Linked DNA regions of Lepisosteus oculatus. The protein of the gene in region 2 purifies or fractionates together with the protein of the main gene of each other region. This does not show direct contact. Links are inferred from orthologs where the notes say so. Each region holds a gene or a part of one and is shown on either strand. Other genes may lie near its edges. The genes, in order: fxr1, tdrd3 and fmr1.

Region 1 (8,148 bases), on a different chromosome or scaffold from region 2:
CAGGTATCCTCCCTCTGCTAGAAGGTATCCTGTTGAGCTCTGTTCATTCATTTTCTCTTGCCATTAGAGCTAGAATTGTGGTTGCAAGCTGATATAGCATTATAATTTTTTACACTATATACTATGCTAAAATAAACTTACAATGACAAACCTACAATGAGTGATTCTAGAAACAGAATAATTTTGATTGGACAATACTAAAAAACTAAGGTTTTCAATGATAAAATGTTCTATTACAAAGTTGCAGTAACAGCTGTCAAAGACACCGTTTCTGTATCCATGTGTATTTTCTGAAATGCTAGGGAAGATGAAATTCAAATAGAAGTGGCTTAACTCAGAGAACAGCTCTACTATATATCTGATTACTAGACCAGTAATTTCTTCCTTAAATAAGAAAAAAATACTAGTGGGATAAATGAAATTTTCCTGTCATATTGCAGTGGTGGTACCATGGAAGATTACTGTATTTTATAATCATTCATCACTATCACTGGTGTTCAGGCTTAGCATAATAGACTCTGTAAACTGGTTTAAATGTGAGAGTGAGGATGTTGTGCTTGGCCATAACTTCTGGTATGATAATGGCCTTTGAGACGTTTCCCGTGCTATGCATTTCTTATTGATGTGATTTAGGGTCTTCAAATATATATATATGCTGTATTCACAACTCCATTCCAAAATATTAGAAACTGGTGTGTTGCACTACATAAAATAGGAGTATAGGAGTGACCCAACCTGTCTAGAGTAGTGGGAGTGATCCAGCACATCCTATGTGCAGTGAATTCTGTAGAGTCTAAAGTGACATCATCTCTGTTGGTGTGCTCCACTAAGCAAGCTGATATAAGAGCCCAGATTTAAAAGGTATTATTGTTGGTGCATTACTAAGGGCAGGGGCAGACCTGGCTCACGTTTCAGTTCAGATAGCCTCAAAGCTGACTGGGGTTGAAAGATAGAAAACAGCCAGGCCTGCAAGAAGCCACTGAACCAAACAGATAGTTAGCAGTGTTAACATCTTGAGAAAAGACCACAGAGTGCAAGTGCTACCATATTAGTAGGGGCATATGAAAGTATGTAGAAGACTTTATTAAGTGATGTGTCACACTTACAATTGCCACTGTTAAGACTATTCTCTGGTTTTATAGCACTTCACTATTTGTTTGTTTAAAGTATGTTTATGCTCAGAGGCATTAAGATGCTATAAGTTACAATACTCACTAATGAGTTTTTAAATTATCTTATATTTAACAGTAATGTATTCCATGGTGTACTATTTAGTGAGGAACTGTGAATGACACCTCTGCTGTGCTTTAAAAACTTTTAAGTTATTAGAAGAAACTGAAGTAACAAAATATGCACCTTCCTCAGTTGCACAGCGTCTTCAGTAGAAAGAGGACCCATTAGGCTGTCCCTGACTCCTAAAGCACAATGGAATTTGAGAGAAGCAGATTTACCATTAATAGGCATAAGATGCTGCATTAACAAAGTCTTCACACTCACTGGTTGTAAAGTACTGACTTTATTCCAATAAATCAAGGAAAAAAAGAAAGTACATCATTTTACTATTAAAATTGACAACAGTGTTTGAATTTTAAGATATTGCTATGGCAATAATACTTAATAAGTCTGAAATCCATAATCTAAACACAAGATGCATTTAACTAAATTTGCTTTTCACTGCTCTCAGATATGGTTTTTATATTTTATATTTACCTGCAGTCCAGTAATCACTTAGAGGTTATTATTTTTTAGTTAATGTAAACATAATTAATAATAGTAAAATCTTTTTTATTTTTTTTTGTATCCTATATAAACTAATTTTGACACGGGTTTTCTAAGATCATAAAGCATTCACAGACCGGTGTTGGAATAATTTGACCATTTAATCACGTTAGCTGAATTCCGCTGTAATATTTACCATGCACGACAGGTGGCAGCACTTCCATTCGCTTTTGTGTTTGTCGGCGCAATAATAATCGTTAAAGAACGTGAAAGCACCTGAATAAAAAATAATAATGTATATTCCATTAAACTTGTTTTATTCGATCATATTTACAATAAAATTAGGACATATAATAAGTTCCCCGGTGTTCCATTTATCAATCGCAACGTCTTTGAAAAACTAATCTCCTAAAATGATGTAAAAAGAAAAATCATCATATCGCATGTACAGGAACGGGTAAAGGTTTATTCCACGCTGAATGGAAAGAAAAGAAACAGAACTTTCCGGCTGTGGAGCATTCTTCAGGTTTGTAATTATTTATACAGGTATTATATACACAGAACAGTGCAGTGCTATACTGTGTAGTCCTGTAGTATTCAGTTTGTACTATGCTAAAGTGTACCGTAAGCTGTACGGTGAGTATACAGTACATACTGCGTAGTACTGTGCTGTGTGGTGTATATAGTACTTGTTCAGTGTTATAATAAGTATTTATTGTACTGTACATGGATGTACTCTGTATGTACAGTACATCGTGCAGTACTGTACAGTATTGTGGGTATATTTCTTTGTGAAGACTGCATTGTGCATTGTTGTACTGTATGTATATGCACTGTGCGGAGATTTACTCTGAGAAGTGTTTTACTTTGTGCATACACATTGAACAGTGAGGTATGCTGTGCAGTTTTTTACTGTGAATATACTGTACATTGCATATTGTTGTACTGTGTAGATATACTGTGCAGTGATGTGCAGCCATTTTCATTACACAGTGCGAAAAGGTACACAAGTGTTGTAGTGTGTGTTTACGTACTGTGCAGTAATGTACTGTGTCTATATATACACTAAGCAGTGATGTACTCTATACAGTGTTGTTCTGTGTGTATAAAGCATGCTGTGTAGTGTTATAAAGTGTGCAGTGTTTTACTATCTGTATACATGCTGTTTAGTAATGTACTGTGTGTTTATATACTGTGCAGTGATGTACTGTGTATATACAGTACAGTGCAGTCCGTAAATATCTGGATAGTGAAACGTTTTTTGTTGTTTTGGCTCTGTACTCCAGTACATTGGATTTTGTTAAAGTGCAGAATGTCAGCTTTAATTTGAGGGTATTTAAGTCTATATTGGGTGAACCACATAGGAATCACAGTCCTTTTTATACATACTCCCCCCATTTTAGGGGACCAAAAGTAATTGGACACATTAACATAATCTTAAAATTGTCATGTTTAGTACTTCGTTCCAAATCCTTTGCAATCGATGACTGCCTGAAGTCTGCAAGCCACAGACATCAGCAGACACATGGTTTCTTCCCTGGTGATGCTCTGCCAAGCCTGTAATGCAGCCATTTTCAGTTTCTGCTTGTTTTTTGCCTTCAGTCACGTCTTCAATAAGTGAAATGCAGGCTCAATGGGATTCAGGTCAGGTGATTGACTTGGCCAGTCGAGAACATTCCACTTTTTGGCCCTGAAAAACTCCATAGTTGCTTTAGCAGGATGTTTGGAGTCATTGTCCTGCTGCAAGGTGAAATGCCGTCCAATGAGGTTTGAGGCATTTGGTTGGATCTGAGCAAATAAGATCCCTCTGTACACTTCAGAATTCATCCTGCTGCTGCTGTCTGCAGTCACATCATCAATAAAGACAAGTGAGCCAGGTCCACTGGCAGCCATACGGTACATGCCCAACCCATGACACTACCTTCATGTTTCACAGATGAGGTGGTATGAGCAGATCCTTTTTTTCTCCACACTTATTTCCTTCACTCTGGTACAGGTTAATCTTCGTCTAGACTGTGTAAGACTGTGTCCCAGAACTCTACTGACTTTATTATTTGCATTTTAGCAAACTGTAACCTGGCCTTTCTGTTCTTGAAGCTTACAGTGGATTGCATCTTGTGAACCCTCTGAGGTTATGCTGGTGTATTTTTCTCTTTATGGTATAGTCTTTGACACATCCATGCCTACATCCTGGAGGGTGTTCCTGATCTGTTCAATGGTCGAAAAGGGTTTTTTCTTTACAATTGAAAGTCTTCTTCAGCCATCCACTACTGTGGTCTTCTGTGGTCTACCAGGTCATTTGCTAAGCTCACCAGTGCGTTCTTGCTTCTTAATGTACTAGATGAGTTTGACACACCTAATGTCTGGGCTATGTCTCCGATTGATTTATTCTGATTTTTCAGCCACATGATGGTCAACTTCACTGGCATTGACACTTCTTTGGTCCTCTTTTGCATCTGGAGCAACAGACTCCAGATGCAAATGCCACATCTAGAATTAACTCTAGACCCTTTTTCAGCTCTCTTGTGCATGAACTAACATTGCAATGACACACGGCTGGCCAAGAAACAACTGAGCAGCTAATTGTCCAATTACTTTTGGTCCCCTAAAATGGCGGGGCTTATGTACTGTATAAAAAGGACTGTGATTCCTATGTGGTTCACCCAATATAGATGTAAATAGTCTATAATAGTATATAGTAATAGTGGTGTACTCTGTGCAGTGATGTACTGTGTGTGTGCATGCTGTGCAGTGGTGTACTCTTTGCAGTGATGTACTGTGTGTATACATGATTGCAGTGATGTACTGTGTGTATACGTGCTTGCAGTGGTGTGCTCTGTGCAGTGATGTACTGTGTGTATACATGTTGAGCAGCGTTGTACTCTCTGCAGTGATGTACTGTGTGTTTACATTCTGTGCAGTAATGTACTGTGTGTATACATGCTTGCAGTGGTGTACTCTGTGCAGTGATGTACTGTGTGTGTACATGCTGTGCAATGATGTGCTCTGTGCAGTGATGTACTGTGTGTGTGCATGCTGTGCAGTGGTGTACTCTGTGCAGTGATGTACTGTGTGTATACGTGCTTGCAGTGGTGTGCTCTGTGCAGTGATGTACTGTGTGTATACATGATTGCAGTGATGTACTGTGTGTATACGTGCTTGCAGTGGTGTGCTCTGTGCAGTGATGTACTGTGTGTATACATGATTGCAGTGATGTACTGTGTGTGTACATGCTGTGCAATGATGTGCTCTGTGCAGTTATGTACTGTGTGTATACATGTTGTGCAGTGATGTGCTCCGTATGTACACTCCACTCTGCAGACGCACGGTGCTCTGTGACGGTGTAAGTTTCTAGAATGCTTTCCCAGAGTACATTGCGTGGCCAATATGGAGGAACTGACGGTAGAAGTCCGTGGCTCCAACGGAGCTTATTACAAGGTAAAAACATTCAAATCATTCCGATAAAATAAATTATCTAAAAAGGAGAAGAAAGCTTTGTGTACGGAAATGTACAGGTTGTTTTCACGGGATTGTTCTTGCTAAATAAATCTGTAAGAAAGTGCCTTTGACGAGGACACAAAAATGTCTGATCTTTTGTCAGTTACATTATGATTTATTTACATACTCACGTATATATGCATTTTTATATTCTAGAGTTTGATAACCCATATTATGTATTCAGTCTGGAGATATATATTTGTAAACTTAAATATTTGAACTTTTTTGGACTGATATATTCTTTCCCTTGTTAATACAGGCCTATCTCAGGTGTTATTTAATAAGGATTAATATTGTTCGTTATATTGTTACGTTATTCATGTTGACAAGATCTTTGATGTTTTAATGGTGGGCATAGTTTTTAATATTTTATACAAAATGAGTGGAACACGATCAGCAGTCACTGTGGGATTTGTAAGTACTGAATCCGTTGACTTGCTCAGCCTGGAGGTCTGGTGAGTTTAAGAGAAGTTTTATAAAAGTGCAGGAAGATTCAAATGTGTTGAGAGACGCACCTGAAGCGTCCGTGTATCTCATTCCCTTCATTTGCACGATGATGGGAAAAGGACATTTCCATTCCTTTGTTCCATTAGTCTTGTTAATATGCCAAAGTCTACTAAACAGTAGCTGTCAATAACGTAACTATATTTTTGTTTTTATAATCCAGCTCTTAGATGTGCCGAATCTTTTTAATAAGGGCCTTTTCGTATTTCTGAAATAAAGCGTGACAGGTCTAACGACTGATATGTGTTTAGGTTGGGTCTAACTGTTGTTAGGGGAACTGATTATGATAAGCACTTGAAGCAGAAGAACCCGTTCTGATTCTAATACAAAGGAATCTCCCTTGTCGTAAGAATGGAAGTTGAAGGGAATGTCATTTACTGCACACTGGGGGTGGTGGAGGGGATCCCCATTACCTGTAAAGCAGTTTGAGTGGAGTGTCCAGAAAAGCGCTATATAAGTGTAAGCAATTATTTAAGATTGGAGGCCTGGTTTATAAAATATGTGGCACTGCATGCAGTTAAATTCACTGAAGAGTTTGTCTTTATGTGACTTGAAAACTATCTCCTGTGTTCATATGAAAATGCAGTGTTTAGTTTAGCGGTGTCTTTGATTGTGAGCTCTCTGTTTGCTTCTTCTGCATGTCATTTCACTGTTGCGTTTGACTTGCATCACTTTTGTATCTTATATGTAACAAGTAGATTATTGTACTGTCGACTCCTTAAAAAAATCAGGCTTATACTCTAAATGTAATACTTTGTGCCTTTTACATTTCTTAATTTCCTTTTCCTTTTTAATTTTGTTGTACATAAGCACTAAGATGTGTGATTACTAGATGTTTAGGTATTGACAGCTGTTACTGTCTGTTGAACTAACTTGTTCAGTCCATGGTAGGAAAATACATCTGTTAATAGTATTAAGTAGTTATTGTATCATGCTGAAGTTATTCCTAGAATGTCACTCAATCCCAGAGCAATATGTGGTCTGACAGCTGTTCACTGTCAATCTTGAGCTGTTGTCAGGTTCAAAGGATAACTTGGAACTCTGAGCTATATTTAAAACATGGGCTTACACATAGCTAGTTATGCAAAAGACAGATGCTTTTTACTAAACGCAAATATTTCTGTTATGTTTTCTTTTTTTAACTTTCTGTAGGTAAAGTAATGACTTATTACAGTATGACTTAAACAATATCTGAATATAGTGAAAAAAACAGCAGTTTATGTAGTTTCAAAGTAGAACATTTTCACAATCAGATTATTATAAAATATAATGTAATGTATAATATAATTATATAATGTAATATCATGTAGTGCTTACATAAGTAAAATAAAAAAGCTATGACAGATGGAAAAGAAAAAAATAGTTTTTGGAGAGAATTAATGAGAAGAGTTTAGTGGTGTTAGTCTCTGGAATTTGTCCTTTAGCAGTCATGCTGTTAACCAGCACCACTTTGCCCTTTGTACTTGTGTGGGTATGCAAATCCTTCTCTAACACAAAGCAAAAGCATCTCTTAAGTATCTCATTAAATGATGTGATTCTTGTTTCATGTAAAATATGTTTCTTCTATTGAAGAAAATGATAAACTGTTGTCAACAGTAGATATGTGATTTCAGACATTTGTTTCTTCATGTATTCTATTTAGACATTTACATAACATCTGTACAGGCTCCTTTCTCCAGTGTTGTAATGAAATATGTTTAAACACATTTTTATAATGCTTTTTGTGCTGCCTTAGAGAACCATCTATAAACACATTGGTTTAGAAGGTTGACATAATTGGAAAAACTGTCAAGGAACTGGATCTAAACTGTCATTTACTTCAGTAGTGTACAGCAGTGGTCTTTAATTCTGTTCCTTAGAGTCTACTATGGGGGATTTTGGTAAGGTTATTGAACTAATTATACATTTAACTGGGTCAGTTTTAGTTTTAAGGTCTAAGACAAATAATGAGTTTAAATAATGAGTTTGTCTGCTTTTTCCAAGGCGTTTAAAAAGTTTGTTTAAAAAGTATTAATATCAGTTAACTTTAAACATCAAATGTAAACACATTCTATTACATTTTGTACATTAAAATAGTATTGCGTGGGTATGCACATTGGATGACTAACAATAACTGAAGGCAGTTAGGATAAATCTGGAAAATGTCATTAAGATGTAACTTGAATTCCTTACTTATGTTTTAGGGATTTGTCAAAGATGTCCATGATGACTCACTTACCATTGTCTTTGAAAATAAGTAAGTATTTTAACAGTAATTTCGTGTTGGGTTTAAAAAAAAAATCATAACCAAGCTGCTTTGGGAAGAATTCAAGACAGGAAGCTCAGGATTGATCAAGCTGGAAGTGGCTCATTTTCATGCTTCTCAATTTTGCTTTGTGGAATATAAATACTGCCTTCTGCATTTGCAAGCACCTCAGAATGTGCTTT
Region 2 (7,972 bases):
ACTGTAGTGTATGTGTACATCTGTGAACAGAGGAAAACTATATCAATAATTGTAAAGGTTTATGGTGGCAAAAACATTTACACAGATTTTGGGAATGTTTTATACCTGTATTACTAAAATATCAATATACTTAATATTCTACATAAATGTAGAATAGAATCCTCTACTGTATAATAATTTCTTTTTAATAACAAAACTCTAATACTGACCATAGCCTGAAACATACCCATAACCCCAGGGTTATCTGCAGATGCAGATGCAGATCCATATTTAAAACTTTATAATCAATTAAATTTCATTAGAAAGTGCCATTTCACACCATGTATATCTCAATGTTATACAACAACATATAAAAACACATTATAAGCAGATTAAAAAGGAAGAAAATATTAAAATATGAAAGACTATAGTTAAAAGATTGTACACAACAATTAAATATTTAACAATATTTGCAGACAGTTTAAAACTGAGTTTCAAAAATATCCTTGTTTAATGAGTGGTTATTGTGACAGTGTTCGATCCTCATTATCTCCAGTATTCAATATTCAAGTTCAATATTTATTGAAAATAGAAACAACAATTAAATATGACAACAGAGAGGGTTCTGTTTATAAAATGTATTTTCAATACTAAATCTAAATTAATGTTCTTCTGAAAATAGGGACTAAATGCAGAAACATTTCAGATAAAAAGTTTGATTTTTTCCTTCTTAAAAAGGTAGTTGAATTTAGGTTCTTTGAGTGTTCATGGTTCTTTGTCACTCAGACAGAATTTAGTTGGAATAAAAACTCACATGTGCAAAGTTTCTCCAGGACCAGGTTTCAGAATCACTGTCATAGTGCTATGATATTAAATTAACCTTCTTCATGTCCCTTGTGAATTCATTATTTCTGATTTACAGTTTTCAATTGTATCTGTTTAATGCTAATAGATTATTACTTTCTTTTTAAGCGGCAACAAAAACTAAAAATATGTTAATAATGACCAGTTCATGATGAAAAGATACAGGCAAGAATAACAATGTACAGTACCAGACAATCCCACAGTAAATAAGTGCTTTTGCTTCTGCTTAAATCCAATTGATCACATTTCAGTTAACACACCTAAATGAGGGCAGATGTGAAGCTTAATAATTAGTAGATGATTGATCAAATTTATAAATCTCAATCAACCATTTAAGAGTTGAAAACAAAAGGGGTTTAAAAAATAAAAATTGAAATAAATTAACCTGTGACTAAGAACTAACCTAGAGAAAAAACAGAAGATAAAGCAGTCCCCAAGGACCAGGACTGAGAGATACTGCACTACATAATGAAAGTTCTTCGATTCTTCATCCAGTACAGCTCAATCTCTTGCACTTACTGTTTTCTAGCTGTCAGACTGCATACAAATTAGACTGCATTACAGCTTTATATGTTAACTATCAATCTAAAACAGCCACTAATTGTGTTGCTGTCAAATAGTTGAAAATAGTCCTAGTTCATTTTGATTGTCCTATTTAGCCCTTCCGTTACTTTGAGATTAATTTTTAAGTTGGTCATATTTAGGAATGCATAGATGGTAGAATCACAAAAAAAAAACACTAAATGATCTCGTTAAGTTTTATATTATTGTGGCTGAAGAGGACAGCCATGTTTCAGCAACCACAGCAAAATTTGCACTTACTGGTCTGATTGCTTACTCAGAAGGTTTGGAACAATTATTATTGCTGTATTTTTGCTGTCCTTGGGTCACAGATCCAAGAAAACATGGAGGAAGATACAGACAATTAGAGAGTGATCCTCAGGTTAATTAACTTCACTGTAAATCATTCGTACTTCCATATTAAAGAATAAACATTCCACGGTGAACATTCCTAGGAAGATCATTAAGATAACCTCCAGAGGAATGAACCATAGCATAAATAAACAGAGACAGAGGAAAGGACAAAGAAAAAAGAAAAGCAGACCTCATTACTTCATAATCATTAATGCTCATCATCTTCAAAGCTGAGCAAAGGGAGATATCCGTTTTCTAAGACATCCTGGAACCATTTGTAGTCCAGGTAATCTGAGTACTATAAAGAGTACCTGATAGGAGCATTATTACAAGAAAGCTTGCTCTTAATTGAAACCTGTGAACACCTCTGATTTCCCGAATGCTATCCTTGGTTCACCCCTTGTTCAAGACTGGTCATCTTCAACAGCTGACCTAGTCAGTAATTTTCGCACTGCGCTGACTAGTACTTTGGATAAACTTGACTTCCTTTAAACTCACTTAGTTTGCTTTAAGCATTCTCTCCATGGTATACACATGAACTTTGCTCTTTGAAACTGTCTGGATGGCATCTGGCCCCCTTAAATAAAAAGACAGCCTAGTGGTTCACACTCAGGCATGAAATAAACACATAATGTACATGTCTGTAGATCTGCTCTAGTTCCTGCCAGCTCATCCTACAGTACATTTTGGATACAATTAGCTCTGGACTATGAAATCATAAAGTGTTCTTTTTGTTATTAACAAGCTCATTAAATCCCTGACAATTCAGCTCTTTCTTCCATCCTTGGCCTCTGTTTTAGGTTTTTGCAATTTTTGCAAACATTTCTAACATCAAGGCTAGATTTCTGTAACTCCTTACTCTATCAGCTCCCTAACACTTTTCTCAATAAGTTTTAATATGTCCAAAACTCTGCAGCTAGATTTCTAACTCACCACAGACCCTGGCAGTATATCACTATTACACTTAAATCTCTCCATTGCGTACCTATAAACTCACATATCCATTATAAGATCTTGTTACTGACTTTGAAGGTTTTAGATAATCTGGCTCCATGATACTGTACATCTCCGAATTCCTTCATGTTTACACTCCCTCAGGCTTCATTCAGTTGAGGTTGGTCCTTTGCTCACTGTACCTAGGAGTAAATTTCTGACATTTGGTGACCACGCCTTTTCTTTTGCTGCTCCATTGTTGTGGAATGTGCTTCCTCCAACTCTTCAAAAGACAAATTAATTGACACTCTGCAAATCTAAACTTACTAACAGTTTATCCTGTATGTTCTTGGTTCATGTTCTTTTATTACGTTTTATACTATTTTTTCTTTTTCTTCTTTATCACTATGTATAGCAAAGGTATATTACAATCACAGCAGCAGCATGTCACAACATCACCTCCAGAAACGTCTATGGAGATCTACTAATAAACCACTACCAAGATATGGGATATTCAGTGAAATTTTAGTGAAATCATCTCTCTGTCCCTTTGGTTCCATGTCTTATTGCAAGCTGAATTGTACTTCCTGTTTGTGTTTTGTTACCAACCAGCCTGTAAACCTGAAACTGTCTGAATTGATAAATCAGCAATGCATTTTGTTGCTTTCAACAATGCACCAGAGACACATACAATTCCAGTCTTGCCACTTGTAAAGTCATTCACATCAGCCATCTTTGTCTTAGCACAACATATAAGGAAAGTGCTGGGCTGCTACTGCTTTACACTTCAGGAATCATGGGGGATACTGAATACTGAGCCATTTCCACTACAATGGATGTGATTGATTTCTTCTATGGAATATACAGTTCTCTAATATTTTGGAAAAAATTATGAAAGTGTTTTCAAATGTAGATGTAATTTTAGTCTTGATAGACCAGGATTTTAGTTTTATGTTTTTGTGCAAACTAAATCAATTAAAATACGAATTGGCATGGGAATGGAAAAATGAAACCTCTCATGTGTACACAGCAGTATGACTTTTTTATTTTACTAACAGCAAACTACCTTATTTTTACAGTAACCTAAATAAATACCATTTACCTGGTATACCTTGTTCACTATACTAATATAGCTATAGTAGAATGCACATTTTTAAACAGCTCCCTACTCCTTTTAATTTGATTTCTTATTCATATTAAATCAAATAAGCGTAACCCTAATTATGAAGAATTATAAAAAAAACACGTGCATATTTTAAGATTTTTAAATGACAACTTTGGGGAAAAGCCAAACAAATTATGTAAGATTTGAATTAATAAAATATATAGCCACACCCATTGTTAGGGAAAGATACTTAAAAAATAATGCATTACTGTTACAATTTTGTAAGGGATAACTTTTCATATTCATGTTTTAGGAAAATGCTTACAGATAGGTATTACATTTGTTTACGTAGTAACTATACCATGCTACATAGACCAAACTTTAAAAATATATATTACCTCAACATCTTGTCTATTTTTAAAAAAGTAATTATTTGCACAGGAATTTTGTAATTTAATAACACTTTTTCCAATACCGGCAACACATACACTTTATTTGAGAAGAAATATGTTTTACTTTAAAAAAACTAGTTACTGTATGGGTAATTGTTACTTAAGTCTCTCTGTAGGCTTTGAAATATATTCATGAAAAACTGAAAATCTTAAGACGTCCCACTTTTCCTGTATTTTTGCTCTAAGCCGAATACTGCGGTATTTCTTCAATAGCTGTTAAACAAAGGTAATCGGTTGTAATACGCAGGATAAAATCCAGAATTGACTTTAAAGATAGAAGTGTTTTTTTTCGTCAAAAAATATAAGAAGGAATTGCATAAAGGCTCTACTTATTCCACAAACAGAGATGGCGCTCTCTTGACTTCACCCATGAAAATCTACGTCACTAATCACGCAATGACCTTTCATCCCTGAACTTCAACCTTCGTCATTCTACTGTGGTTGTAGTTATTTTTTGTTGCATCGCGTAGATGACTTATTTTAATGTAAATATAAAACGTATTTTATGCAGTCAAAAAGTTTAACATCATTTAGGGGTCTTCCAAAGACTATATCAAACTGACGGAAAGTAGTGTTAAAAAGATCTGCAGTAAAATTTACTTAACACCCGTGTGTGTGGAAAAATGGCTGATATCAGCTCGGCTCTGTCCAAAGAAGGCTGGTAGGTAGCTCGTTTTCCCTTGTAAATTCCTAAATAAAATCCCTTTTCCAATTAAGAAAACAATAGAGGCATTTATTAAGTCTTTCTTTCAAGTAGAATAAATATTTAATTTATAAGAATCTTTTTTGTTGCTTATGCTCACTTTGGTAACGTGTAGGCCTAGAGGTGTTTCATTCTTGAAGAACAATCGATAACTTTTCAACTGCAGTTTGTATGAAAAGAAAACCCAAATAAGAATTTTATTTGATTTTGTGTCGTTATATGCATGTGCTTCATGTTCAACTTTAATGTGTGATATTATTTGTTCAGTTATTTTCCACTTTGTTGTTGGAAACAACCGTCAAACATCGGATACGTATCACTAGAATTTAACAACAAAGCAGTGGTAAATACTTGTATGATCATGTTTTCTAGCGATTGATTTCCGTTCATTTTTGATTTAAGAGAATCTCCAATACATTCACTTATTTGTTACCAAAAGATTAGTCGATGCATTATTTTGGTTATTTTAAAACATAGCGTTAGTGTTCCTTTGACTCTGCTATTAAGTTATTACATTTATGGTTGTTGAGGTATTTTACAAAAAAAAAACTTTTCACGGATGGTCACAGAATGTAGCTGAAGAATTGTTCAGTTCTTTCCAGAATTATTGGTATTATTTTCATTTTTTTTTTCACACGTAAAACGGTAATGATGTGGTCTTTATATCATTTATTTATTGTAAACGTGAGCTAGTTTTTGAACCTTCACTTGACTTCGTTATGCTAACAGTATATACAACTTCTATGACCCCGATTTTTGTGAAATCCATATAGTTGTTGAAGAATTTCTCTGCTCATCAAACTTTTGGTGGTAAGTTATTTGTCAATCACATTATAAAGAAAATAAGATTTATAATAATAATAATAATAAACTTTATTTTATATAGCGCCTTTAAAGGTGGCTTCTCAAAGCGCTTTACAGGATGACAATAACAATAAATAAGAAGACTACAACAATAAATAAGAAAATTTCACAAGACAGGACACAATTATAATTACAACAATACAACAATAACAATAGAGGAGACCGTGGAAGATGGTATTAAGAAGAGCAGAGGGGTGAAGAATGGAACCAGTTAAGTAAAGGCTTTTCTGAAAAGGAGGGTTTTGAGTCTGGATTTGAAGGAGTTTAGAGAAGGTGACTCTCTAATATCCTTGGGCAAGGAGTTCCAGAGCTTGGGGGCATAGCAGGAGAAGGCCCTGTCGCCCATACAATGTAGACGGGCTTGGGGGACAGTAAGGAGGGCAGAATTTGAAGAGCGGAGGTTGCGAGGTGGGGAGTAGGGCGATAAAAGTTCAGACAGGTATTGAGGTGCCAAGCCATGTAAAGCCTTGTAGGTGAGCATGAGGATTTTAAAGTCTACGCGGAATTTGACCGGAAGCCAGTGCAAGGACTCCAGGATAGGAGTAATGTGAACACTTGCACTAGATCTGGTCAGGATTCTGGCTCCTGAATTTTGGACATACTGCATGGTAGAGTCACATAAAACGGTGGTGTTTTTCAAATTAGTCTCGTTTCCTTTGCCGTTTTGAATAAATCTTGACGTATTTTTAATTGTGAAATTAGCTGGGAGTATTTAAAGGACCTCCCATTGCAAAAATGCCTTTGGAACACATGAGGTGCCTTTATCGTAGCTTTATTTTGCAGCATTTTTGTAGAAAATAAACGGATCATTTTTTCCAACATACAACTGTTACATAATTAAGTCATGTATAATAGAAAAGTTAGAATACCTTATGTTTTGTTAAGATGTCAAAATTGTAGTCGTTGATTTCATGCTGTTCTTTATTCTCTAAACTGATTACACTTTTAATAAAGGTTGATACTACTGTTGCATGGTTGTTTAACACATTCTGACTTTTAGGATTTACTCACAAATCTTTCTTTTTACTGAATTTTATAAGAAGAAATGTGACATGTACATGGCAGTTGGACTGTTATGTTTTGAGGATATAAACCTGATCTCATACAGAAATCATTTCATGTTTCTTTATGAAATGAGAACTTCTGAATATTTTGCAGATTTAAGTACATCTAAAATCACTAACAGTTTACTCCCACTAGGTGATGCTACTGTAATTCCTTATGTAGAACTAATTGGATACTGGAAAATGATTGTGTAGATTGGAGAAAAATGTATTAAAGAGGTTTAGACATGTTTGGAAATGTTATGAATCAGCTGGAGAAGGTTTTCCTTTTCATAAGCTGATTGATCATTCTGATGATTTGTGAATCTTTTTTATTTTCTTTATTTTTTGTACTACTCAGGTGTTTTAACATTCAAAACAAGTGATCTTTTTGCATTTAAATATGTTTTGATTATTTTGCCAGGGTGACAATTGTGAAAATAGTGCTCACTATTAAACAAGTGACCAGCCTTTTTAAGGTGTTTATACTACTTTAAAAGTAACATCTTCAAACAAATGGAGTTTTACTGAAATTGCCATTATGGAAACATTGAGAATAAAACCTTATTTGGAAACTGAGGTATTATTTTTTTTTCTTTTGTTCCCTTACAGGTATCTTTCTGATGAAGGAATAGAAGCCTGCAAAAATTCTTGTGAAAATCCTTCCATTAATGACATAATCCGTATCGCATTAAATGTAGGTTTGTTTTACACCTAGTGTATCAGTGTTTTCCTCCTGCTAGAGAGAATAACACATGCTTCTGAGTTTTTATCTACAAATAGCTTTCATTGGACTGCAAGTGTGTTTCATTAATAACCCTGAGAACTCTGGTCTGAGGTTTGACTGTGGCACTACTTGACTTTAGTCTGAGCTCCTAAAGGATGGAACAAAAAACATGTAAACATTTGCAAGTCTGCTGTAGAATCTTTAGCTTGCCAAACATCCGTGACCACTGTTGCTAATCAAGTTTGTGTAATCAGGTAAAATTATGTCAGTTTGTCTTTGAATATTATTTGACATTAATTGAAATTAATAGGTATAAAAGCTGGAAAATAATTGATGATAATATAGTATAATATAGTTCTGAACAATAAAGCTATTTGATTTCATTGA
Region 3 (8,012 bases), on a different chromosome or scaffold from region 2:
GCATTAGTTTTATAATACTTTTGAACTGAATTGATTCAGCTATTGATTTAATTACCCTGCTTCATCATGGCTTCCATCTTCTTAGCTATTGAGAACTTTAGGTTAACTATTACACATTCAAGACTATATTGAATAATATGACTCATGCATTAAAATTTCTGAAATTTCTGCATTGCTTTGTACAAAGACAACATGATGAGAATTTTTTATTGTGAAAGGTAACTGAAAGTACAATGCTCTTAACAAATTTCTACTTTAATCTTCTTCGTTCGCACAGAAACACCTAGAAAAGGTCAATAACCTCTCTGTAGTGATTAAATCAAGCTTTGGAAATGAAATTTTCCTTCAGCATTAGAACAGTTTATGAACACTCACCTTTGAAAAACACTGTATAAAAAAAATAAAATATAGAAAAGCATTAATTCATATATGTTGTAAAACTGTTTTTACATTTCTAGAAACACATCACTCTAAAAGGTGGCCCACCTTGTGCCTCCTGAGAGTTGGTTCAATCTTGTTCACTGACCCAGGCCTATCTTGGCAATGAGCAAGAGAGCCAAGTTACATTTAGTCTAATTCACACAGAGGAGCAATTAATGGTTCTACAACTTTTGAGAACATTTTAAACTGGCTGAAAATGCAAAAACTCAGTAAAGAGTTAAGAAACTGCAGCCCTCAAAAGATCATTAACTGTTTCAATGAATTCCCCAAAAATCATGCCTATCACAAGAAATAAATGAAGAAGAATTAAAATACCAAAAGTTATTTACCACAAGAGATGAATCATAATTATTTTGTACATAGATCCTCATGTTCTTCTTCCACAGGAGCTTCAACTGTGACATTCAGTAATTCCAGTAACTACGGCTTAAAGTCCTGTTAAAACAGGCATGTGCGTTGACAACCTAAGTATTGAGTTTATACAAATAATGTTATGCAAATTACTTTCCAAAAGCATCTTTTATTTCTTATGAGTAATAGAGATCTGTGCCTATTTCAATAGGTATTTGCTGCTGTTTATTAAACTGAGTGCAAAATAAACCCCCATTTATAGAATTAATGTTGTGGCAATAAGACACTTATTTCATATTAAGAAAGGGCTAATTCAGGTCTGTTGAAATTATATTAAACGTTTTGAGTAAATGTATTTCTCTTCAATTCTGCTCTTAAAAAATACAATAATAAAAGAAAAATCAAGAGATCCTTGCCGACTTATTTTCTGATGAGTTTATACTGACATCTAGTGATTGAAATGTGCAATTGAATCTTTCTTTATCACAGAAAACTAAACAGTCAAGTACAGGTTTATTCCAAGCTGAAAACAGAAGAAAAGAAACACCTGAAACCCAAAGAAGGCTCCCCATCTGAAACGTGTTTCTTTTCTTTTCTTTTCTTTTCTTTTCTTTTCTTTTCAGCATGGAATAAACCTTTACTTGTTCTTTTGCAGACTACGCATGCTGACACAGCTCCATACTTGAACTAGTTTAGAAAACTAAGAGTGCCTTATTGTCGTTTTGTTCTAGACATTGCATTGCATGGCTAAAACAATCATCAGCACTAGTTTTGGATTTTATTATTATCATTGTTGTTATTATTGTTATTTTAACAGGAAATGCACTCCATCCACCATTGAAGTACAACATCTGGATGACACACTACACTATAAAACTGTTTCACCAGTTGCAACGAGGGGAAAATTTGGGGAGTCCAGAGCAGGATCTAGAGATAAGATAAGGTCACTTTATTGGCCATATACAATTTTCTTGTATTAGGAATTTGTCTTTTTCACAGACCCCAGCTTGTTCCCCAGGAGACACACAGACAGGGAGAGAAGCTTGGGGTCAGAGCGGAGGGTCAGCCATTTATACAGCACCCCTGGAGCAGTTGGGGTTAAGGGCCTTGCTCAGCAGCCCAAGGGAGTAGGATTCCTCTGCCAGCCACAGGATTTGAACTGGCAGCCTTCCAGCCACAGGCGCAGATCCTGAGCCACAGTGCCACCGCACCGCCCACAATCTAGTAAAGCCATTGGGGTTAACACATCCATTCACACAAACAGCACCCTGGAATATGTCATGATAAAATAGTTAGGACCTCGGCTTAACGTTTAATCTGAGGGACGGCAATTCCTGCAGCACAGAGTCCCCAATTAAAACACTGTGGTTCTGGTCTGGAACTGTAGGTGCTGCTCCACCAGCTTCTGTACCACAGCTGGACAGCAGCTGTCTGGTTTCAATTCCAGTACTGACCAGCTCAGCCACTGAGCTCCAGAACTCTGGTGAGATCAGACTACAGGCTCATCATGCTGCTTGTGAAAAATGTATACTGTACGTCCCCTATAAAGAAATTATAAATTTAATCTAATATATTTAAGTGACAGACTAAAAAGTGAAAATGGGTATCAATTAAGTATTAATATTTCCCTTTAACATATATTTAGTAATTTGTCTGAGACATCAAGTTCACTAAAAAAAAACTTAGGAAGGGGAAAATAGTTATTTTTTCTCATTATGACAAAAAATATATATTTCTGTACATGAGTACTATATCATAAACATGTGCATTTACTTTACATCTGAAATGTAAAGATTAAAACATTTATTTTAAATTTGTGTTTCCCAGAATATTATATTTTCTTATTGTTTTAATTTAGAATTACTTTTATTTTTAAACCAACAGGCAAAAATCCAATGTTGTGCATCCAGCTAAAAACAATCATACTTTGTGAGTCATCCCAAAACAAGATTCTGTTGAATCATTTTAATATCAGCCATGGAGACAGAACACAAAATTGCAATACATTAAACATTAGTTCATTTATACGTCTTCCTATACTAAATATATATATATATACTATTTATTGGGGGAAAGTATGTATATATTCTAGATATACAGAGCATGGACATATATTAAGTACTTGTATGTGTCAGCTTCTTGCTGAAGAGTGGAAATCGAAGTCATAAGAGACACAGTCAGGTGCGCTCCAGGCTTGGCCAGGCAATAAATTACTCTGGTACATTCCAAGAAGTAACACATCTTGGAATGACAATAACTTACTTTCCCTTCTTGTTAAAAGCACGTACATTTATTGCCCCTTCTGGCAATGTAACATTTTCCCAGCGTGTGACACACTCAGCCCTCTACTGATATATTATTACCTACTCCACCAGGAGCGTGGCTTAGCTGCTCTGATGCTCACACCCTGGAGGCTGAAGCTGGAATAGTTCCTCCCCGTTCCAGATCCCTTATCTGAGAGATTGTGTGCTGCTGTTCAATTTGTATAACACTCTGTTCCGCTTCTTATTATAAACCATGTTCTGCTTATATCAGAAAAAAAAGATAACAATATGCCTGTTAATAAGTATGTTTAGTTGCTTGTGAATAATATTTAGTACATTTATTTTAAAAATGTTTTTATTTGTTGTTTAAGAGTTTATTTAAATATATTTTCTGTTCTTGGCAAATATATTTCTTTTTTGGATATTGCGGTAGTATTACTCTTCTAATTCAGACACATTTTGTTACTAAAGAAAATGCATTTATAGAACAAATGCACCATGACCTACAGTACCACAAGCAGGAGAGACTTTTGGAGGAGAAAATAAGTATGTCAGCTTGATTAAAAGTCTGCTGGCATATCGTGGGCAACACCATGCCTCCACTGAAAGGAAGCTGGATCAGACACAGGACAGCTTTGTGTCACTGTTCTCAAAACACTCCGAATTTAAAATTCAGTTTTGTTAGAGTCTGAGTGCAAGCTTCCTCACTGAACACAAAAGAGAGCAAGTCTTACCAAGCTTTCATTCATGCTCTCTTGTATTATCACTCTTGTCAATAATTGCCATTACAATATTCAAAATGCAAATGGTTTTATTATAGGAATAAGGAATATCGGTATTTTCCTTCTCCCCAGACTTTTCCGGTCTCCCCAGACTGCCCTGTCTCTCTCACACCTGAAGAAGGCTCCACGGCCAAAACGTTGTGTTCTCTTTCTTCTTTTTTTTCAGCATGGAATAAACCTATTACTTGTTCCTTTTCCTTCTCTATACATTTTAAAATCGACACAACAACAAAAGGCTCTATCTGTAGAGTTATATCTTGAGTTTTGTTGCGTAGTTTGGTTCTCCTTTTTGTTTTTAATTTAAGTAAAGATATTAATTTAATTCCAGTCCCTGTCTACATTTCTAATGCCCCATCTACAATGGGACAGGCAGCTTGTCCTGTTTTTTCTGTTTTCTAATGTCTTTTCACCCGTCACCTGCCGCAGGGCTCTCATGCTTTGTGAGTGGAGGCAGGCTGCATGCTCGCCTGTGCATGAGCTTTGTCTTCACAGCACATCCTCTGATGAGGACTGTGGGGAAGTTCATTCTAGTCACCCTGAAAGGTTTATTTTTAATCGTTAGGAAATCAGTATTGATTCCAGTGTAGGCATTGTACTTTACGGTAACTAAAAATCTACAACAATTAGGTTAAACGGATCCGAAAGCAAGAATGACATGTTTTAAATGCAGTGCACCTGGTCCCCTGTATCACAGTAATGCTGCTGCTCTCCCGCACGCGGGACGGGTCTCCCCAGACGCCGGGTTGTTGTGAATGGGACACACCCAACTAAAAATTATCATTGCCATAGCAACCGTCGGCCAGCAAGGCCTCCCTCGTGAGTCAAAGTATTGGAGAGGGGACGTCTGGTCAGTGTTCTCAGCTTTAATTGGCTGGGTTTCGGACGGTGGAGCGTTCCGTAATCTGATTGGTTCCTAACGTTGTCGGGTTTGCCCTCAGTTGAAGGAAGCCATGAAACTGGCGCCATTTTGACTCCATTCAAGAGCGACATGACGTAACTGTGAAACGGGAATAGAGTCAAAATGGCGACCCGAAGGGACTCAGTTTCTTTGCTCGGATGGGAACGAGGGGAAGACGTGCATCCCCGGAGCGCTCCCTGATCACGTGTCGGGGGCGAGGGGGGGCTCTTGTGTTTACATCAATGCGCTTAGGAGCAGCTGGTGCGAACTGTGCGAAGAAAAGATATGAATGTTTCACTTTCATTTCTTTAGAAAAAGTGGGGAGAAAAACACTCTTGGTTTCGCAGCAGTGAGAGGCAGACTGACGGAGAAGGAGAGCTGCAGGGGGGGCGTTTCTAGGGACCGAAGCGACCCGCTCGCCGTTTTTGCATTTAATTGCAACAGTCATGGAAGAGTTAGCTGTGGAGGTCCGAGGAACAAGTGGAGCCTTTTATAAGGTAGGGAGATTAGCAAAGGCCTGGTCCGCGCTAGCGGCTGCTTTGTTGTCATTTTTAACTCAGCTGGCGCTTGCTGGCGATCGTGCAAAGGTGCGGGCCAGTGGGGTCCTCTGTGTTGCACTCACATCTCAAACACCCGTGTAGGCCCTGATCCGGCAGAGCTGTGGATGCTAGACCTCAGACAAGGCCCGTCTCTCCCGCTGTTTATCGCCAGGCGCACTCAGGATGGACGTTTTTGCAGCCCTTTTTCTGCAAAAGGGGGATTTAAGTTACAAAATCGGACTCATTCCCCCCAGCCAGTCCTCCCATTCCAGGGCGCTGAGCTGATGGTGTTTAGTCGCTTCAACGGAGCGCAGAAACCCCTCGACGTGTCGTTCATTATTTCCACCTTATAATGATGCAGTATTTCATGCGTGTGGAGTCCATCACATTTTACTCACGGCTTCATTTATTTAAGTTTCACTCTTTATTTGCCGCTTTGTTACTTTTCATGTTACAATGTGGGGGAGTTGAATCAAGTTATTTTTCTAAAAGTAAAGTGTCAGTAGTGCAACAGCTTGGACTACAACCGGTATAAGATCATTTATCTTTGTAATGCAGTTTCAACAATGCATGATTTATTTAATATACACCACATCATGCATTTACTGTGTCTGCATGAAAATGTGCTGGTGTTTTAAAGGCGTCTCTTCTGTAACATGTGCATCGCACCTACGTCTGTTGGTGAAGCCACGCTCTAAATCGGCGACTTTAGCTCCATGCTCTGCTTCTGTTAACTAAAGAGTTTTAAAGAGAGTGAACTGCAGTAGTTGCCTTTTTGCCAGTGGTGTCCACGCTAATCCATAGGAATGAGAACTCGAATACCAGCGCGGCAGCTGCATTAGGCTTTAAGAGCCGCAGGGGCTGCAGTGTGGAGTGGATGTGGAATTGTCTCCTGTCGCTCACACTTGACGCTCGCTCACACGCAATACATGCACGTTAACGTTATAAGTCAGAACTGAGCTTCTGGCGTGTTTTTAATTGAATTCTCATGCTTTTCTGTTGGTGCTTGATAGAAACGACTGTACTGTTATTGTTGCGAGCAGCGGTTGTAACCCGTGGTTAAATGGTTTTCTGGGGGCCAGGGAATAAAAGGAAGCTAAAAAAACTTTTCTCTCTCTAATATAAAGTTTTCAGAGTTTCACAATTGTTGAACCACTAATATTAAAGTATTTTCTGTAGTATATCTTCTTGATATATCAGTTCATGATAAAACAAAGGCAAAAGAAGACCACTGTCCCAATACACATAGGCTGTCAGTTTTCAGCAGAGCATGTCAAGACACTGTAAAGCTGTTACATTGCTACATTTATAAATTTCAATAATCTGATAACTGATGTTGATACAATGATGCTTATACATATAGAGCAGTGGTATCTTAATTATCATGTCATGCTGTAAAAATGATATAGAGCATATATATTTTTACTTTTCATATCTGTATGCAACATTGTCCTACAACAAATTTAAAAAAAAATGTACAAAGAAAGTATTAGTGCTTTAGTCCAGTGGTAAGACACAGAGGAGCCTTGTCTTTTGATTGAATGTCAATATTGGTGAAACTATTTCCTGAGAATGCTGTTAATTAAAAAGATGGTGTGTTGTCATAACTATTATCAATACAGTTTCATCTTAAGGGGTGTAGTGGTAGAAGTCTAAAAACATTTTTAAAACCAAAGAAACCTCAGTGGACAAATTTGTGAAACCCATTTTTTAACCAGCGATGAAATGTCTTCTTTCAGGCATTTGTGAAGGATGTGCATGATGATTCTGTCACGGTGACATTTGAAAATAAGTAAGTAATCTGTAGTTTCACAGTGCCACTTTGGTGTAGCTGTCATGTGTGGAATGAAGACATCTTCATCTTAGATGCAGAGGAATGTACTGAAAGGCACAATTTATCTGGAGATTTTCTAAAAACAATTATCCATATGCTTTAGTATCCCAATGTGTTAAAGGCAGTTTTTGCATCCTAACACAGCAACAGGATAAAGCTTGTGTAAATTGTTTTGTTATGAATGTGTTTGTCAGTAATGTGTATAAAAGTTTTAAATTCAGTGTTCAATGTGAGGAAAAATAATAATAAAATACTTGACTATTTTTATCAAGATTTAAGAAAGGTCTGTATTTGCAACATATGTGCACTGCTAGGATTGTTAAATTAGTTCTACCTGTGAATTTGTTTAGCTACTTTCATTTAACTACATTCTATAAAAATCTTTTGTGTTTTGTGCCCAATTTTTTTTGTTTTAATTGTATACTACATGCTTAAACACAAAATTCATGTTGATTTCTGAACCTGCATGTTAACTGATGTTTCTTTTGAGTTTTTAGTGACGTGTCTGTATTCTATTGCTGATTGAGTAATGCAAACACCAGTATTTTATTCTGTAACAACAGCAAAACTGTAAAGTAGAGCAAATGAACAAAATTCTTTGTATAAAGTATTTAGTTTAATGCACTTAGTACTTACAAACTATTTACTTAGTGTAATAACATAGGCATACATGCATGCTGTTGTTCCATTTATTCTGCAAAGGATAACTGTACAGGCTTTGTTTTCTCTTTTCTTTTATCATTATCTTCACACTGAGTTTGCAATTGGAATTCTCAAGAGAATCCAGCCATGTATAGAAAGAACACCTGTATTCTTAAGTTTTCCAGTGCATAAACGATGCCTCTTGAACACCTGTTTATGAGGTTACAGTTTTTCAAAGTGTGCCTTGAGCAAGTGCATTGG

Evidence for each region.
Region 1: the proteins of tdrd3 (region 2) and fxr1 purify together in Homo sapiens (affinity purification with mass spectrometry; 3 studies listed by BioGRID and IntAct, with this or other methods). This does not show direct contact. The link is inferred for Lepisosteus oculatus from reciprocal best matches to the Homo sapiens genes TDRD3 and FXR1.
Region 3: the proteins of tdrd3 (region 2) and fmr1 purify together in Homo sapiens (affinity purification with mass spectrometry; 4 studies listed by BioGRID and IntAct, with this or other methods). This does not show direct contact. The link is inferred for Lepisosteus oculatus from reciprocal best matches to the Homo sapiens genes TDRD3 and FMR1.

The regions. Positions count from the first base shown.
Region 1 is NC_090708.1:168,851-176,998, forward strand, and holds the start of fxr1 (RNA-binding protein FXR1), read left to right. Parts: upstream 1-5,048; 5' UTR 5,049-5,106; coding exon 5,107-5,157; intron 5,158-7,904; coding exon 7,905-7,957; intron 7,958-8,148. UniProt on the Homo sapiens protein: mRNA-binding protein that acts as a regulator of mRNAs translation and/or stability, and which is required for various processes, such as neurogenesis, muscle development and spermatogenesis.
Region 2 is NC_090710.1:14,134,358-14,142,329, reverse strand, and holds the start of tdrd3 (tudor domain-containing protein 3), read left to right. Parts: upstream 1-4,663; 5' UTR 4,664-4,871; coding exon 4,872-4,909; intron 4,910-7,470; coding exon 7,471-7,555; intron 7,556-7,972. UniProt on the Homo sapiens protein: Scaffolding protein that specifically recognizes and binds dimethylarginine-containing proteins. Plays a role in the regulation of translation of target mRNAs by binding Arg/Gly-rich motifs (GAR) in dimethylarginine-containing proteins.
Region 3 is NC_090703.1:53,148,876-53,156,887, forward strand, and holds the start of fmr1 (fragile X messenger ribonucleoprotein 1), read left to right. Parts: upstream 1-4,940; 5' UTR 4,941-5,182; coding exon 5,183-5,233; intron 5,234-7,014; coding exon 7,015-7,067; intron 7,068-8,012.